Linked DNA regions of Xenopus tropicalis. The protein of the gene in region 2 purifies or fractionates together with the protein of the main gene of each other region. This does not show direct contact. Links are inferred from orthologs where the notes say so. Each region holds a gene or a part of one and is shown on either strand. Other genes may lie near its edges. The genes, in order: cul4b and cops9.

What was found.
Region 1: the proteins of cops9 (region 2) and cul4b purify together in Homo sapiens (affinity purification with mass spectrometry; 3 studies listed by BioGRID and IntAct, with this or other methods). This does not show direct contact. The link is inferred for Xenopus tropicalis from reciprocal best matches to the Homo sapiens genes COPS9 and CUL4B.

What each region holds. Positions count from the first base shown.
Region 1 is NC_030684.2:46,088,818-46,098,173, forward strand, and holds the start of cul4b (cullin-4B), read right to left. Parts: upstream 5,659-9,356; 5' UTR 5,467-5,658; coding exon 5,055-5,466; intron 1-5,054.
Region 2 is NC_030681.2:127,439,599-127,448,888, reverse strand, and holds the start of cops9 (COP9 signalosome complex subunit 9), read right to left. Parts: upstream 5,057-9,290; 5' UTR 4,966-5,056; coding exon 4,903-4,965; intron 1-4,902.

The DNA.
Region 1 (9,356 bases), on a different chromosome or scaffold from region 2:
TTTACTTTGGGTGGCTATACATGGGTTGATAAAAACTGCCAATTCAGCCCCTCCAGAGTCAGCATCTTACTGGCCCATGAATGGGGCTTCTCTGACAGCCTGCCCGACTGGAAAAAACAAAATCAGACATATCTATTGATCAGGTTAAAAAGACCACGTTAGAAGAATACTTTATCAGTGCATTAATGCAGTCCACTCCCGATAGGCTAATTGCAAATCGGAAATTTGGAATATAAAATGGCAAATCAGGGGTTTATTGGACAAACAGACTATTCTGAAGGGCCACACATACACAAAAGTTTATACCTTTTGGATTAATATTAACCTAAAACTGGTGCTATAAAGACTCTGGTTTAGCAGCCTATGGGAGCATAATGGCACAAACTGAAGAGCTATGGGCACCAAAATCAATTATATGGCAAAAATAAATGAGTTTCCATCTAAGTGAATGAATTATGTCAGAGAAACAGAATCAAATCTTGGGACACTCCAGAAACCTGTCTGATAAGTATAACATAAAATATGAAAGACTACTATGCATGTGCCAAATACAGTGTTTTTTACTTGCTAATATCCAGAGTGAAGACAGGGGCCCTTGTACCATAGCTGATTGGGGGGTCGTTTCAGGTGTTTTTAAACCTTTCATCCACTTGTTTTAGAATTGCTTAATTGGTTGGTGTCTTGCAAGTCTATGGGTAACTGTGCATGGATATATTCCAAAAGCTTAAGCAGACTGTCCCAAATGTTAGAAGCAAAGACTGATCATTGGTTTTGAAGCAGTTGATAATACAGGTAGATGCTAATTATTGCCTCTCACTAGCAGGTAGAGTACTACGTACCTAAATATATGTTACTTTAGTCTTGCAAGCATTACCATGGCAAGCTACTTACACTTTTCTGAATACCAAATATACTACTTTCACTCATTTTCACTTTCATTTACTAAATAGAGCATGTCTCGCCTATTTTCACTTTCTATTTATCTAAGATTATTAATATATATTGGTAGAACTACGGAGTGCCAGAGGGTACAATTGCCTTCAAAATACCCCCAAAAGGAGGTTCCTGAGAAATGCAGAGTGTGGCAGAATTTCACTAGCGCAGACTGTAAAGAGCTTTAGCTTAAACTATTTGAATATATAAATAATAGTACAGGTATAGGACCCATTATCCAGAATGCTTGGGACCAAGGTAATTCTGGATAAGGGGTCTTTACCATAAGGTATGTTGCGGGCCACTAATCTCCCCACAATGCCATTCCGCCGGCAAGAATGTAAATTGCAGGTGGGATGGCTTATGAGTCGAGTAAAAAATCAAAATCACATTAATTAAACCCAATAGGATTAATTATATCTTAGTTGGGATCAAATACAAGGTACTGTGTTATTATTACAGATAAAAAGGAAATCAATTTTACAAATTTGAACTATTGGATTAAAATGGATTCTATGGGAGACAGGCTTTCTGTAATTCGGAGCTTTCTGGATAATGGGTTTCCGGATAAGGGATCCTATACCTGCACAGACATTTTAATCAATGATTTTATTTTTTAAAAACAATTTCCTTTTTCTCTGTAATAAGATATGATTAATCCTTAGCGGAAGCAAAACAATTCTATTGGTTTTAGTTAATGTTTAAAACATTTTTAGTACACTTAAGGAATGGTGATCTGGATAACAGGTCCCATACCTGTAATAGTCAATACATTTTTCTTATACCTGAAAACAGTGTTACTTTTGGAGAAGCCAAACTACTTTTGGTTAGCAGCATCTAACTTCGCTGTACCTAAAGGGAAACCACAGCACTACTACAAGAAGCAGAGGTCCTGCAAGGTCTGAAACGTATTTACCCACATTCTATGGAGAAGAAGCAACCGCGCAGTTAAACTTTCAAGAGAAAATGAATAACCTGGAAACTGATCACAATCAGTTCCTATAATACAGGAAGAGCAGCAGATATTGCACAGGGTGAGATTATAAGCCATAAAACAAGAGCATGAGCCGTTTTAATACATCTGTTTGAAATGCAAGGTAACCTGTGGAACTTTGAGCAACTTCACATGGGAAATTTACAGCAGCAACACATCATGTGTAACATCTTCTTACCCTGTACAGAGACCTGGCGACTGAAGCAAAAAGTAATTTATTTCACAGCACCTAGAGAGCAGTTTTCCAGTTCAGTTTTTTTTTAGCTGCAGTTGAAGTTAGAATTAGTTTCTGCTTCAGGCATCAACATTCCAAATATGTTAAAAAAAAAAAAAAAAAAAAAAAAAAAGGATGGATTAGTTTCATGGGCAAGCTCAGTCTCGATAACACCAAGTACTGTTTTATAGAGGATTATACACACAGGTACACTTTTGCTGGCTGATACTAGCTGTGATCTGCAGGTAATTATGTCCGCTCCAACTCACGTGGGTGCTACTAAATAATTCTTAGCAATTCACAGCTTGGCAAAAACACAACTGCAATGTTTTTAAGTGCTGAGTATAGCTGCAGGCATAATTAATAACTGGCTGTTATAGGCAGAATTTAAATAAAGCCAATGTCACAGCAGAGCCACCTGTGGTCCTAGTAAGTAGTGGAGATTGAGTAGGTTTCACCTGTTACTAGAACTCAGAGAGAAAGGGTTGTGTTGCAGATGATCCCACAGCATGTTACTTCTGACACCCTTAGCAAGCTAAACAGCTGCCTGTGTGTGTCCTAACATATCTGCCTTGCAGGTCATAGGGACAGTAGCCTCCCAAGGAATGAAGATGCTTCCTAGTCAGTTACAGAAGTGTCTCAATGGCATTGACAGGTGTACTTAATACATTTTTTTCCCATTACCCCAGAATAAAAAAACAACCACTCTATAAAAAGCCAGAAAAAAAAACGCAAGTATCCCTTGGTGCTGCAGAGGTTTGCCACTGCAAATACATAGACATACATAATACTCCTTTGTAAACAGTAAACAGTGTATTGTTGCTCTTTGTATCACCGTTTACCAATAAATGTGGCAATGCTCCTTTATACTGTATGAGCAGACAAGTTCTTTTGCCGAGAATTCCTTCATTTCTACTTCAAGCCTGTATATGAAACAGTACTACAATTTAGGTGTGCATTGTGTCTGTTTGATATAGGATTAGTTGTACTATTAGTATATCAGAAAAAATCACAAGCACTTAATACCAGTTGTACAAAAAAATGAAGAGGCTGGTAAGGTCTTTTGCCAAAACAGAGTAATTTTTTTTTTTTACATACAATTACTACTTTTTAAAGGCAAACTAACAGCACAATTTCCTGAGTTTCTACCTTATTTTAGCTGCATCAGCTAAACCTTTATATATAAATTTATTATGGGCATACCCAGGGCTGTATATTGGTCATGTGCCATCCTAGGCACCAGCCTAGTTTACCCCCCCCCCACTTAGCAACTGGTGCACATGCATTGCAGTTTGCATAATGCTCATGCACCAATAACTGATAGAAATTTCTTAGAAATTATTAAATTCCCCCACTTTGCACTAAGGCCTCTGGCACACGGGGAGATTAGTCGCCCGCGACAAATCTCCCTGTTCGCGGGCGACTAATCTCCCCGAAAATGTAAATCGCCAGTGGGATGGCATATGCGGCAGGGCAATTTCAGTGAAATCGCGGAAATTGCCTTGAGGAAACATCCGTGATTTCACTGAAATCGCGCCATCCCGATTTACATTTTCGCCGGTGGGATGGCATTTCGGGGAAATTAGTCGCCCGCGAACAGGGAGATTTGTCGCGGGCAACTAATCTCCCCATGTGCCAGAGCCCTAAAGAGATCAGGGCCAGAAGCCACATTGATACCACTAAACAATCTGTTTGCAAATGTCAACAAACACACTTCTGTGTGGGCCCAAAATGAACCAGCCTGACCTGATTCTGATTAGCCATGTTAGTAAATGGTGAATAGCCTCACAAATCTGTGTAAAGTGTTGCAGTTATCACCTTAACAGTTATTTAGCAGATTGTCTAAGGGCTCTGGCACATGGGGAAATTAGTCGCCCACAACAAAACTCCCTGTTCGCGGTCGACTAATCTCCCCAGATTGCCATCCCACCTGCGAAAATGTAAATCGCTGGCGGCGTGATTTCAGTGAAATTGCGCAAGTTGCCTCGAGAGGAAACCTGCGCGATTTCATTGAAATCGCGCCACCCCGTATGCCCGAGACACAGGTGGGATGGCATTTCAGGGAGATTAGTCGCGGGCGACTAATCTCCCCGTGTGCCAGAGCCCTAAGGGCAAGGATGCTTTCTGTTGATCTGAAACCATCCTACAAAAGCTCCCGTGTAGTTTAGTCCTGAATGTTGCTTCACTAACACCAGCATGATTTGTGTGTTGTGTGTAGACAAATGCCTAAAATAAACAGTGTTCACTTTCAAATTATTCTGGAAGTGGACATTGAAGAAAGATTTTCAGTGTTTTGGCACTGGTCCCATGAGATACTAAAAAAAAAAAAAAAAATGGCTTTGGCCAATGAGTCCCACAGGAATATTGACACTGCAGCTTAGATCGGTTGTGACAAAGATTTTTTTTTTAATAGAAAAGATTGCCTTTGCATTGAAGATATCCCTTAACTGTAGCGCTCTTAGTATTGACACACAGATCTGGTTGGGTCAAACAGGAATGCTTGTAACAAGCATCAAATCCCCTAAGTGCTCCAAAATATTGCGGATCCCTATAGAAAGAATCAAGCATTACCAGCTTAAAACACTTTGGCTTTATGCTGGTTAGGAGTGCATCAATACACAAGCCCTTAGAAGTCAAAACTGCCATTCCAGATAGATTCAACCATAATAAAATAACGCCAAAAGGAAACTGTAATTTTACCATCATGAAAAAACCAAACAGGCAAACGTTTGCCCCAAACTACTGGGTGACACAAGACAGCATGCTAGTTTCTGAATTCCAAATTAAAGGAGATTTTATTTTGACCAGAGCACCCTTGTAATCACCTGGTCCTTAAGCACATTCTGGTCAAAGTATTACACTCCCTGAAGTGACCTATCAAAGAGCTGATTGAATGGTGCCATCCCTCTTTACCTTTAAAGTTCTTGATGACTAACTTCTTGGCTGAGCCAGGCTTGCTGTTGGCAAAACTGGACACGGGTGAGGCTTTTGTGAGGCCATTGGCATGATGCCCAACGCCCACTGGGGAGATGAGCAGGTTTTTACTCCTCACTGCCTGGGGAGTAGAGGAGGATGAGCAGGAAGAAGAAGGAGACTCCTCGGCCATCTTCACATCGAGTCCTAGAAAGTCCAAAGTGTCTTCAAAACGCAGCTTCTTTTGGATGTGGTTAGAGGAGGAAGAGGAGTTTCTGGGGGGCGACAGGGGGTCCAAATCGTCCTTATCGCTGCTGCTGATATTCAACCTTCTCTTTTTGGAGGTGCTGTTTCCCTCAGTCCTTACCTCCTGCGCCGGGGGGTTGGGGGTTGATAAGCCTGTGGGAAACATGAAAACACCACAAATAGAAAAGATTCAAGGCAGCCCAGACTGTGTGTGACCGCTGGATCGTGTGGGGACCGCAACAAACAGCTAACGTGGCCCTTTGGTTAGCGCTTCCCAGTGGCCCCCTCGGCAGGCACTCTGCTTTAGTTCTGCTCGGTGAAGGCCCCGGCCCCGCTCTCCGGATATCCCCACTCTTTTTCTTGTTTATTGTCACAAGAGCAGGGAACCAAAGATGGCCTCACTTCCTCTCGCAGTGCATGTTGGGAAGAGTTCCCCAGGAGGCTGCCGTGAGCCCACACCCCTTCCCAGCCGGGACAGTCAGGGAGCCTTTGACGCCAGCTGCTGCCAAACTATCAAAACCAAAGGGGTAGCGCTTACTGCATTAACTATAGCGCGAAAGGCTGGCTGTGTTCCCTCTCTCCCCTCCCCTTTTTATTCTACTGTGATGTCATGGCAACCTTCGTACCTTGTTTTGACTGACCGGAAGGACTAGCGATGAGGTCTTTCATAATGCCCGACCGTGCGGGCCTCATCCGTCCCCTTTCTCCTCGCCGAGCTTCCGCCTTAGGTTGGTGCCGGCGAGGAGTCCCGACAAGGGGAAGGAAGGGGCTGAGGCTGGAAACTACTCGAGGGGGAGGAGTCGAGGGTTGAATATTCCCGCCTCTGTAGTGACGCCTAAAGGGAATAAGGACCAATAATCAGCTTGGTTTGGGTGACATTTCCCCCTGATGCCTCCACATGGTACCGCCTGTTCAGCAGCGTGGGGGCCGGAGAGGCTTAGAATAGTTACATAAAGGAGAGCGCCAGTAGTTGCGTGTGACGCTTCCCGCTTAAAATGAGTTCCTTGTGGAAGCTCCTCAGTAACTACTCAGTACTACTACTCAGTAAGCGTCAAACATGAAGTTTGTGTCTGAAAGCAATGTATAATGGCGTGTATAGCAGGGATGAAAAGTACATATATTAACCCCACTATTCATTTAAGTGCCAGATTAAAATAAACTTATATCATACAAAGTGGTCAATTTGGGTGATATAATAATCTCTGGGAGAGTAAGGCTTCCCATTGGATTACGCAGCTGTATACCAGATTCTGACTGAAAGCAATGGCTGAATGTGTTTTTTTTTTATAAAGCAGCTATTCTGGGTTCTCTATGTGCTTGTGAGCCTGCATACAAGTTATAACACCAGCAAAAACAACACATGTTAAGCACACCAAAAGGTGTATGCTCATACTTAGTTTCAGCACTTGACCCTATTCAATTGTTTTTTTTTTTTAACAGATATGCAAGCACTGGTCACTGCATAAAGCACTTATGAATCATCTGGTAAAGCTTAATAGAGATGTTACATATAACTAAATAACTAATTTGGGTTGACAAAAGCCCAAAGCCTATCAAGTTCAACATCTCTAAAAACCCCAGTGCACAAAAATACACATACCTATATAGACCAATCTATACACTTACAAATATAAACTATATATACCCAAATAATGTTGAAGCTAGGTGTTTGTAGAACTCACGGGCGTTGCTGCCATGAGGCGAGTTGAGAAACTCACATTAGGCTGTATTGCCTGGCAAGTTACTGGAGGCGGCAAAAAGCCCCTTCAGGTAACTTAAAGAGCCTTGTGTATACTTTAATGCTCATTGTAGATTGTAAGCTCTTTTGGGCAGGGCCCTCTTCACCTCTTGTATCCGTTATTGATTGCTTTATATGTTACTCTGTATGTCCAATGTATGAAACCCACTTATTGTACAGCGCTGCGGAATATGTTGGCGCTTTATAAATAAATGTTAATAATAATAATTTTGGCTACTGGTAGCTTATAGCCCTGCCTACTTCAAACTGGGCTACAAAATTTCACAAGAGCTAACACACAAGTATGCTGTATGAGAAGTTACCAATTGATATAGATGACAATAAGCTCTACATGGCAGGGACCCACTTCCCTACTGTGTCTTGTACCACATAGTACTTAATTGCTGGATATTTACAATAATGCTTGTTCTCCCTGGTTGTACTTTTCTGTATTGTAAAATTGTACGGCACTGCGTATCCTAGTATGGCTATATAAACTTATACGTATATGCCCCAATGTAATTAATTTGATGATGGGGCACTTGTAGCCTCATCTTGCTCCATCCTATACTGTTCACTCCCCCTGCCAAGTGCCTCTGGCATCTTCCTGCACTCCTGTCCAGTTTCCAGAGTAAATGTGGCTTGGGAAGCATGCTGCCCTTAAAAGCATGCTGCCCTTAAAATCATGCTGCCCTTAAAATCATGCTGCCCTAGGTCCAGAACTTTTTTTAGTTTTGGATTGCAAATACTGAATTTTACTTATCTCCTGTATCCACAGTCATCTCTGCATGACTGATGAACATGATCATCTGGCACCATAAAATTTTGCGGGTTCTGCTGACCTCTTCATTCAGTGAATATTATGTAAAACTGTTTGTAACAGTTCTGTTAGACATTGTTGAAAACAACAATTCTAGGGTATTCACATTTGTATTCATTCAGTTTAAAGTGAAACAAAAATAAAAAAATAATTGGGGCAGATTTATCAAAGTGTAAAATGATATAGCTCACCACAGAAAAATTCACCCACTTTCTATTCATTCATACGGGTTTTTTAGAAGTTTGTTTATCAATGGCTGAAAGTTGGAGTTCATCATTTGATAAATTTGCTTATAAAAATCCCATAGGAATAAAAAGAAAATGGGTGAATATTTCTACGTTGAGTCTGGCGTGTTTTGACCCGTGGACTTCCTCAAAGGCTTCAACTAAACGTTAATCCCATGAAAGTTACACATCCTATAACTGAACATTTTATTGCTGTGGGAGAACCTATTGCCAGCCATTTTTAAAGCTTACTGCTAAATACTTCTAAGAGTGCAGTGTCACACAGGGTGTGTTAAATTTACCCCAACTGCGACACTATTTTTTATATTTCTATTTTACCTTTTCTTTTGTCTATCCCCGTGTTCTTAGCAATGGTTATTTCCTATAAAAAAGAGTGATGTAGAATTGTAATTCATGGCTATAGAAGTGGCTTTGGTTCCTTAGACTACTTTATGCAATATTTGTTTCTACATGCAAAGATGTCACTGTCACTTTAAACACAACTTTTTAATTTCTAGTTCCTGTTCCTTGTAGAATGTGGCTGCAGCCCTGCAGAATAAATCTTCAGTCATTTCCCATGACTATTAGAAAACTAACATTGTTTTGAGAGATGAGCTGCACAAACTGCAGCCTTCCAACGAAACAAAACATTTTTTTGTTTCAAAACAATTGCGTTGCTTTTCATTGCTAGTCAGTTTTCAGACTGTACAGTTGGGGAGAAATGTTCAGAAAGAAGCAAAGATGTTTCTCTGCTCACAAAAGACATAAGAAGTTATTTGAGGTTTCTGATCTCTTATAAACAGGGCAACATCTGAACAGTTGTCTCTTTTCCTTCTGAACATTCCTCTCTGAAAGAGTGCAGTCTAAAAACTGACCAGCAAGTGGCAAAGTTGTAATACACTTTATTATATAAGCAGTTTAACACCGGTTTAATTGCTTGAAAGAGCGTTCTGAGCTATTTTACATTAATATTTTTAAGGTATACATTTTCTTTAAAACCGCTGACCTTGCAAATGTGCATCCAATGAAATAAAGGTGACCATACACTGCAGATTTAAGCTGCCAATTTGAGTCTTTCAGGCCAAATCAGCTGCTTATCTGCCTGTGTATGGGAAGCCTTGACAGGCCTCCCTGACCGAAATCAAACAACCTCACCAAACAAGCGGATCTTAACGTGTATGGCCACCTTTAGATCTTGTTCACTACTGGTGAAACTACTATATAATAAAAATATCAGGCAAATGCTGTGACTTATGTTTTTAATTTATTACAGT
Region 2 (9,290 bases):
AGAATCAAGGATAACCCCAAGGGCCTGGGAAGATGGGGTAATGGTAGAATTGATACCTCGGGAACAATGTGGGCGTTGGATGGGGGAAAGAGAACCAGTTCAGTTTTAGAGAGGTTTAATTTAAGGTAACGTTGGGACATCCAAGTGGAGATAGCGGACAGGCAGGAAGAGACGCAAGTTTGAAGCTCTGGGTTGAGATCAGGAGAGGAAAGATAGATCTGAGTATCGTCAGCATAGAGGTGGTACTGAAAGCCAAAAGAACTGATTAGTTTGCCAAGTGAGGAGGTATAGAGAGAAAATATTAAGGGGCCCAGGACAGAGCCTTGAGGAACCCCGAAAGAAAGAGGCAAGGGAGAAGATGATTCCCCATTGTAAGAGACACTGAAGGATCGATCTGAGAGATAAGATGAAAACCAGGATAAGGCAGTGTCACGAAGGCCAAGAGAGCGGAGAGTCTGGAGGAGAAGAGGGTGATCCACAGTGTCAAAAGCAGCAGAGAGATCGAGAAGTATTAGTAGCGAGTAGTGTTTTTTGGCTTTAGCCGAAAGGAGGTCATTTGTTAGTCGGGTTAGAGCAGTTTCAGATCTCTATGCACTAACCTGCTCCATGTTTCTGGCCCTGTGGGATCTCTATGCACTAACCTGCTCCTTGTCTCTGGCCCTGTGGGATCTCTATGCACTAACCTGCTCCATGTTTGTGTCTCTGTGGGATCTCTATGCACTAACCTGCTCCATGTTTCTGGCCCTGTGGGATCTCTATGCACTAACCTGCTCCTTGTCTCTGGCCCTGTGGGATCTCTATGCACTAACCTGCTCCATGTTTGTGTCTCTGTGGGATCTCTATGCACTAACCTGCTCCATGTCTCTGGCCCTGTGGGATCTCTATGCACTAACCTGCTCCATGTTTGTGTCTCTGTGGGATCTCTATGCACTAACCTGCTCCATGTTTCTGGCCCTGTGGGATCTCTATGCACTAACCTGCTCCATGTCTCTGGCCCTGTGGGATCTCTATGCACTAACCTGCTCCATGTTTGTGTCTCTGTGGGATCTCTATGCACTAACCTGCTCCATGTTTCTGGCCCTGTGGGATCTCTATGCACTAACCTGCTCCATGTCTCTAGCCCTGTGGGATCTCTATGCACTAACTTGCTCCATGTCTCTGGCCCTGTGGGATCTCTATGCACTAACCTGCTCCATGTCTCTGGCCCTGTGGGATCTCTATGCACTAACCTGCTCCATGTCTCTGGCCCTGTGGGATCTCTATGCACTAACCTGCTCCATGTTTCTGGCCCTGTGGGATCTCTATGCACTAACCTGCTCCATCCCTCTGGCCCTGTGGGATCTCTATGCACTAACCTGCTCCATGTTTCTGGCCCTGTGGGATCTCTATGCACTAACCTGCTCCATCCCTCTGGCCCTGTGGGATCTCTATGCACTAACCTGCTCCATCCCTCTGGCCCTGTGGGATCTCTATGCACTAACCTGCTCCATGTTTGTGTCTCTGTGGGATCTCTATGCACTAACCTGCTCCATGTCTCTGGCCCTGTGGGATCTCTATGCACTAACCTGCTCCATGTTTGTGTCTCTGTGGGATCTCTATGCACTAACCTGCTCCATGTTTCTGGCCCTGTGGGATCTCTATGCACTAACCTGCTCCATGTCTCTGGCCCTGTGGGATCTCTATGCACTAACCTGCTCCATGTTTGTGTCTCTGTGGGATCTCTATGCACTAACCTGCTCCATGTTTCTGGCCCTGTGGATCTCTATGCACTAACCTGCTCCATGTCTCTAGCCCTGTGGGATCTCTATGCACTAACTTGCTCCATGTCTCTGGCCCTGTGGGATCTCTATGCACTAACCTGCTCCATGTCTCTGGCCCTGTGGGATCTCTATGCACTAACCTGCTCCATGTCTCTGGCCCTGTGGGATCTCTATGCACTAACCTGCTCCATGTTTCTGGCCCTGTGGGATCTCTATGCACTAACCTGCTCCATCCCTCTGGCCCTGTGGGATCTCTATGCACTAACCTGCTCCATGTTTCTGGCCCTGTGGGATCTCTATGCACTAACCTGCTCCATCCCTCTGGCCCTGTGGGATCTCTATGCACTAACCTGCTCCATGTTTCTGGCCCTGTGGGATCTCTATGCACTAACCTGCTCCATCCCTCTGGCCCTGTGGGATCTCTATGCACTAACCTGCTCCATCCCTCTGGCCCTGTGGGATCTCTATGCACTAACCTGCTCCATGTTTCTGGCCCTGTGGGATCTCTATGCACTAACCTGCTCCATGTTTCTGGCCCTGTGGGATCTCTATGCACTAACCTGCTCCATGTTACTGGCCCTGTGGGATCTCTATGCACTAACCTGCTCCATGTTTCTGGCCCTGTGGGATCTCTATGCACTAACCTGCTCCATGTTACTGGCCCTGTGGGATCTCTATGCACTAACCTGCTCCATGTTTCTGGCCCTGTGGGATCTCTATGCACTAACCTGCTCCATGTCTCTGGCCCTGTGGGATCTCTATGCACTAACCTGCTCCATGTCTCTGGCCCTGTGGGATCTCTATGCACTAACCTGCTCCATGTCTCTGGCCCTGTGGGATCTCTATGCACTAACCTGCTCCATGTCTCTGGCCCTGTGGGATCTCTATGCACTAACCTGCTCCATGTCTCTGGCCCTGTGGGATCTCTATGCACTAACCTGCTCCATGTTTCTGGCCCTGTGGGATCTCTATGCACTAACCTGCTCCATCCCTCTGGCCCTGTGGGATCTCTATGCACTAACCTGCTCCATGTTTCTGGCCCTGTGGGATCTCTATGCACTAACCTGCTCCATCCCTCTGGCCCTGTGGGATCTCTATGCACTAACCTGCTCCATCCCTCTGGCCCTGTGGGATCTCTATGCACTAACCTGCTCCATGTTTCTGGCCCTGTGGGATCTCTATGCACTAACCTGCTCCATCCCTCTGGCCCTGTGGGATCTCTATGCACTAACCTGCTCCATCCCTCTGGCCCTGTGGGATCTCTATGCACTAACCTGCTCCATGTTTCTGGCCCTGTGGGATCTCTATGCACTAACCTGCTCCATGTTTCTGGCCCTGTGGGATCTCTATGCACTAACCTGCTCCATGTTACTGGCCCTGTGGGATCTCTATGCACTAACCTGCTCCATGTTTCTGGCCCTGTGGGATCTCTATGCACTAACCTGCTCCATGTTACTGGCCCTGTGGGATCTCTATGCACTAACCTGCTCCATGTTTCTGGCCCTGTGGGATCTCTATGCACTAACCTGCTCCATGTCTCTGGCCCTGTGGGATCTCTATGCACTAACCTGCTCCATGTCTCTGGCCCTGTGGGATCTCTATGCACTAACCTGCTCCATGTCTCTGGCCCTGTGGGATCTCTATGCACTAACCTGCTCCATGTCTCTGGCCCTGTGGGATCTCTATGCACTAACCTGCTCCATGTCTCTGGCCCTGTGGGATCTCTATGCACTAACCTGCTCCATGTCTCTGGCCCTGTGGGATCTCTATGCACTAACCTGCTCCATGTCTCTGGCCCTGTGGGATCTCTATGCACTAACCTGCTCCATGTCTCTGGCCCTGTGGGATCTCTATGCACTAACCTGCTCCATGTTTCTGGCCCTGTGGGATCTCTATGCACTAACCTGCTCCATGTCTCTGGCCCTGTGGGATCTCTATGCACTAACCTGCTCCATGTCTCTGGCCCTGTGGGATCTCTATGCACTAACCTGCTCCATGTTACTGGCCCTGTGGGATCTCTATGCACTAACCTGCTCCATGTCTCTGGCCCTGTGGGATCTCTATGCACTAACCTGCTCCATGTTTCTGGCCCTGTGGGATCTCTATGCACTAACCTGCTCCATGTCTCTGGCCCTGTGGGATCTCTATGCACTAACCTGCTCCATGTCTCTGGCCCTGTGGGATCTCTATGCACTAACCTGCTCCATGTCTCTGGCCCTGTGGGATCTCTATGCACTAACCTGCTCCATGTTTCTGGCCCTGTGGGATCTCTATGCACTAACCTGCTCCATGTCTCTGGCCCTGTGGGATCTCTATGCACTAACCTGCTCCATGTTTCTGGCCCTGTGGGATCTCTATGCACTAACCTGCTCCATGTCTCTGGCCCTGTGGGATCTCTATGCACTAACCTGCTCCATCCCTCTGGCCCTGTGGGATCTCTATGCACTAACCTGCTCCATGTTTCTGGCCCTGTGGGATCTCTATGCACTAACCTGCTCCATGTCTCTGGCCCTGTGGGATCTCTATGCACTAACCTGCTCCATGTTTCTGGCCCTGTGGGATCTCTATGCACTAACCTGCTCCATGTCTCTGGCCCTGTGGGATCTCTATGCACTAACCTGCTCCATCCCTCTGGCCCTGTGGGATCTCTATGCACTAACCTGCTCCATGTCTCTGGCCCTGTGGGATCTCTATGCACTAACCTGCTCCATGTTTCTGGCCCTGTGGGATCTCTATGCACTAACCTGCTCCATGTTTCTGGCCCTGTGGGATCTCTATGCACTAACCTGCTCCATGTCTCTGGCCCTGTGGGATCTCTATGCACTAACCTGCTCCATGTTTCTGGCTCCATGTTTCCTCCTGTGGGCCAGAGACATGGAGCATTTGTGCATTTGGATTTTTTGCGCACAAAAAGCCGATTTCTGATCAAGCGCATAAGTCTATGAAGTCAATTGCTATATGGGTTCTTCCCCGTACTAAATGATATCATAATCACAGTTTGTGTACCCACATAAAGCTATTCACACTAACACCGCGCACATCTTTATGGTCCTACAAACGCACTCACTAAAAATCTGCGCTATTTGTACTCCGCCACAAGCCCCTAGCGGGATAGTAATGCGCACTGCCGCTCCTACGTCACCTCATCTAAATCCACATAAGGGCCAGCTCCCTCTGGGAACATCTCGTCCACAGCCGGCTTCATTTCGCCACTTCCACTGTAGCAGTAGTTTAGTAGAACCGCTCACTGCCGGACGGTACAGCGCACAGGCTTATACACGCACACCACGTGATGTGACGTACGTGACGCTAGTAGGGCGGAAGTGACAGAGAGGGACGGGGAAGCGCAATAAGCGGGTTGGCGAGTTCTACTAGGCAGGGAAGGCGGTAGCGCAGTGGGTGGATTTGACTTGTGTTGGTGGAAGGCTGTGTATAGAAGTGACTCACTGCATGTGTGAATATAAAACAATATGAATGCCCTGTCTGCTTTTCTGTCTGGTGAAAGGGTTTACCTTATAATTTCTCTCTTTGGGTAGGATCCCCGTTTGCTTACACTGGGCTAGCCGGCAGCCGTAGGCTTTAGACAGACTTTCCTATGGATGTGCTAAATGGCACCTGGAGTGTAAAAAATATAGTATAAACTGGCACTGTACAAAATATGTCTCATAAGCTGATATTGAACTACCGTTTGGGTGACACAGCTCTCATTTTCTATGATGTTATTGGGCATTCACCCCATGCATCTATGGATCCTTAGCTGTGTGGGAAAATACACAATATGCATAGTCATATAGTAATTCACTAATAGGTTGCTCAGCTTACACATAAAGCGTTCCATAGCAGGAAGCTAGTTACCTCTTGTTCCTGGCAGCTCTGTTGGTTACACTTACAGCCTTCCTTCCTTACACAAAAAACTGGCCATAACCTAGGTTTATTTTGATTATAGTGCCTATCTTAGTGGGTATAGGTGTCAGCCTTTGTAGGGTAGGAGGGGTGTATTGATAGACTATTTCACTATTTTACCAGATTACAGTGACTTCAGTACATTCATTGTGACCTGCTAAATATTAATATTGTCCTTCAGGGACCACTATATCATAAAGGAGGGCCAGAGGGGCATTCCCATGTTCCCTGCATCATAATTGTTAGTTAAGGCTGTTTTGTGGCTTGTGAAACAACTGTATTTCCTCAGTTGCTGGTATAAAGAGGACTGCTGTGTTTTTTTAGTATCAGAAAATAAATTTACCCTTGCCCAAAGGGCAACAATAAATTGTTGATAGACCTGGATTAAGTCTAAAATAGGCTACACTACCCAGGATTTGGCTTAGAATTAATGGTTTTTATTTATTTTTAAAATTTTAGATCTGTGATATTAAAGGGGACCTGTCACCTTAAGAAATAATTCTAAATTGTTTTCTATTGTGTTTGTCAAGCAAAGTAAACTTTACTTACACCATATAAATTATTCAAATCTTATTTTCTTCAGTATTGGAATTTACAATTGCAGCAAGTAGGCAGGGGCCATTTTGTGGTGTTTTGTTATCAAAGCAGGCATTGCATCCTGCTAAAATCTTATTTCTGTGCCAGTGTGGGGGGAACCCGATGCCCATATCCATGCACTGGTTACAAAATTACATGGTTAGGAAGGAGGAGGAATGTGAGGAGGGCAGCAACATCTAAGAAGTTCTGAATTCAAAGTGAAAGTAACTGGCAATATATGATTGACAGCTGGGATTCTTAAATGCTTTTATAATGGGTATGGATGTGGTAATAAACAAATGATTTTGGGTTTCATGTTTAATTTGAAAAGGGTTTTTATTATACAGCTTTTCATGTCTGGGTGACAGGTCCACTTTAATGCAAAGGGAAGTTTTACTGTATGAAAGGGGACCATGGCTGGCGATTTATACTTAATAGCAAAAGCGTCCATTTTTTTTAGTCCTAACAGGTTAGAAACCCAGGTTTATAATTAAATACTTATATTTTGTTTACACTATTCCTTTAAAGAGTTATTTCATAATTAATTCAACTTTTAGTATATTATAGAATGGTCTATTTTTAGCAACTTAATTTGGCTTAAAAATTGTCTCCTTCTGCTGCATCTTGACAAACTTCAGACAGGAGTCACTGACAGATGCACATGTGATACAGTGTGTAGCTCTACATGTCAGCATACATTTGTGTCTTAACCGTGTAGATTCATTCTTTGTTCTCGCCTTTCAATAAACTGGGTGATATGTTTCCAAGTGTCCTTGATAAGCAACAGCAACAAATCCATTATTTTATTTAAAAATGAGTCAGCCCAAAGAATAACAATTTCTTAAAGGAGACATATTGGATAAATGGGAAAACCCTAATTTTGTAGGCAATTATGAATAATATACGGTGCTGGTTTCCATTTGTGCTCAAAATTAATCCTATCGATAACAATGGCCCCTTTATTGGAGCTCCCTATAGATCCTCTCACTTCTCCGTCCAGTGTGAAATGAAGAGTGGGCGTGTCCTAACGGTCCCTGCCAGAAACACAGTAGGAGGGGGATAGCCAATCACAGCCCTGTACTCACACAAGCAAAGACAGGCTTCTGTTCCCTATCAGGTCAGCCTAGCTGCTGATTGGTTCCTATCCTACAGTGCAGTGTACTGAGGGCCGCCGGCCCCCCAGCTCATCCAGAGAATTCAGCCAGCAGGAAGTGGAACAGATGGGCGGGGCTAGTGGGGTCTTTGTGGAATTTCTCAATAAATCAGTCTGAAACACAACTTTTTAAGCACAATCCTTCTATATCTAGAGGAGTATAATTCACTGGTACATTCATAATTTTTTATAGGATATGTCTCCTTTAATTATATGCTTGATCTGAGAAAATTGAGAGAATATGAGAGGGAACCTCAGGGGTGGGTTGGTTATTACCATATTTCTGATCAACAGTCTTAATAGATAAACCTGGCCAACCTATACAAATTCATTAACGTTGGAAAAAATACACTTTAATTTAAGGAATACTAGTATAAGGGCTCTGGCACACGGGGAGATTAGTCGCCCGCGACAAATCTTCCTTGACGCAGGCGACTAATCTCCCCAAAATGTCATCCCACTGGCGAAAATGTAAATCGCCGTGGATGGCATACGCGGCACCGCAATTTCCCTGAGTCGCGGAAGTTGCCTTGAGAGGAGATTTGTCGCAGGCAGGAAGAAATCTGTCTGTGTCAGGAAATAATAGGCATGGATTATATTGATATTCTTATATATTAGATGATTTTATCACTGAGATATTGACCACAGGGTGGGGGGGGGGTAACTATTATTCTAAGCCTTTTAGGACATTGTCAGACAAGGCAATTTTTACTTGCTCCATTGCTGACTTAGTTGTCTCAAGGCCTTAAATGAAGTGGAGATGCCACAGTTGCCTGACAAGCAGTTTCATACCAGGCCATGGAAATGACTACAAACACTAAATCACCATAAGGCCAGGGACAAACAAGATTAGTTGCCCCACACTTAAACTCCTGTAGGTGACAAACCTCTGACTAATGTAAATCGCCAATGGAAAAACATGGGGGGGTTTATTAAAATTTGTATTTTTATGGTTTTATAGTTTTTGTAAACCATGACTAAACCCATTTCACAATTGTGAGTAATTTATCAAAAGTTTCTCTAATTGACAAAGCACAAATGAAAAAAGACATGGAAGATGTGCAAAATTGTGACTTTTTCGTTTGCTGAATGAAAACCCAACTTTTTTGTTTTGTATAAAAGCCAGCATAAAAAACCCAGCAAAACTCTAAAATCATGAAGCAAACAAAGATCAGTTGTAAAAGGGACATCTACCATTGACTTCTACATGAACTTCTGCCCCTTGAAACTATTTGTGTTGCCTTCTAACTGCCTTCTTGTTTCTCCTCAATGTGAATTGGAAGATCTTTTTCAGAAGGCATAGATCAAATACAACACTAGAAAGACCTCTAATACTGTTTGGTTACGTAAATTACAAGGAAGTCAAATAAATCCATATATATATATATATATATATATATATGAGCCATTATAGATTTCTGTAATCCCTTCAGGCCTCAGCTGCAGCCATTTGATCACTGAGATATACAGTATATAAACAACATATAAGCTCTATACAAAGCAACTGTAAAGCTTTCAGTTCAGTAAAATAATCATAACCTGAATATCAATGACCTGCAAAGGTTTAAACTGTAATATATAATCCTATCATTTATACTGTTATAAGAGTTATAAAGAGCCAGTTCCACAAAACACACCGTTATAAGGTTAATTTCTTTCCAAAGCATTTTTATTGCTATAAAATACATGGCTGCAATGCTTCTTCTCCAACAAGTCTCTGCATATTACAAAATATATTGTTTTTATTCTGAAGGGTAAAAGCAAACAAATATTTATAAAATAGTAAGCTTGGCTCCGAAACCTTAAAGCCAGCTGGTATGCTCAGGATAAGTGGGATGGTGCATTTTAGGCTTGTAGGTGAGCTTGGGTATTCATCACTTCCCATCCATGGCATTGGT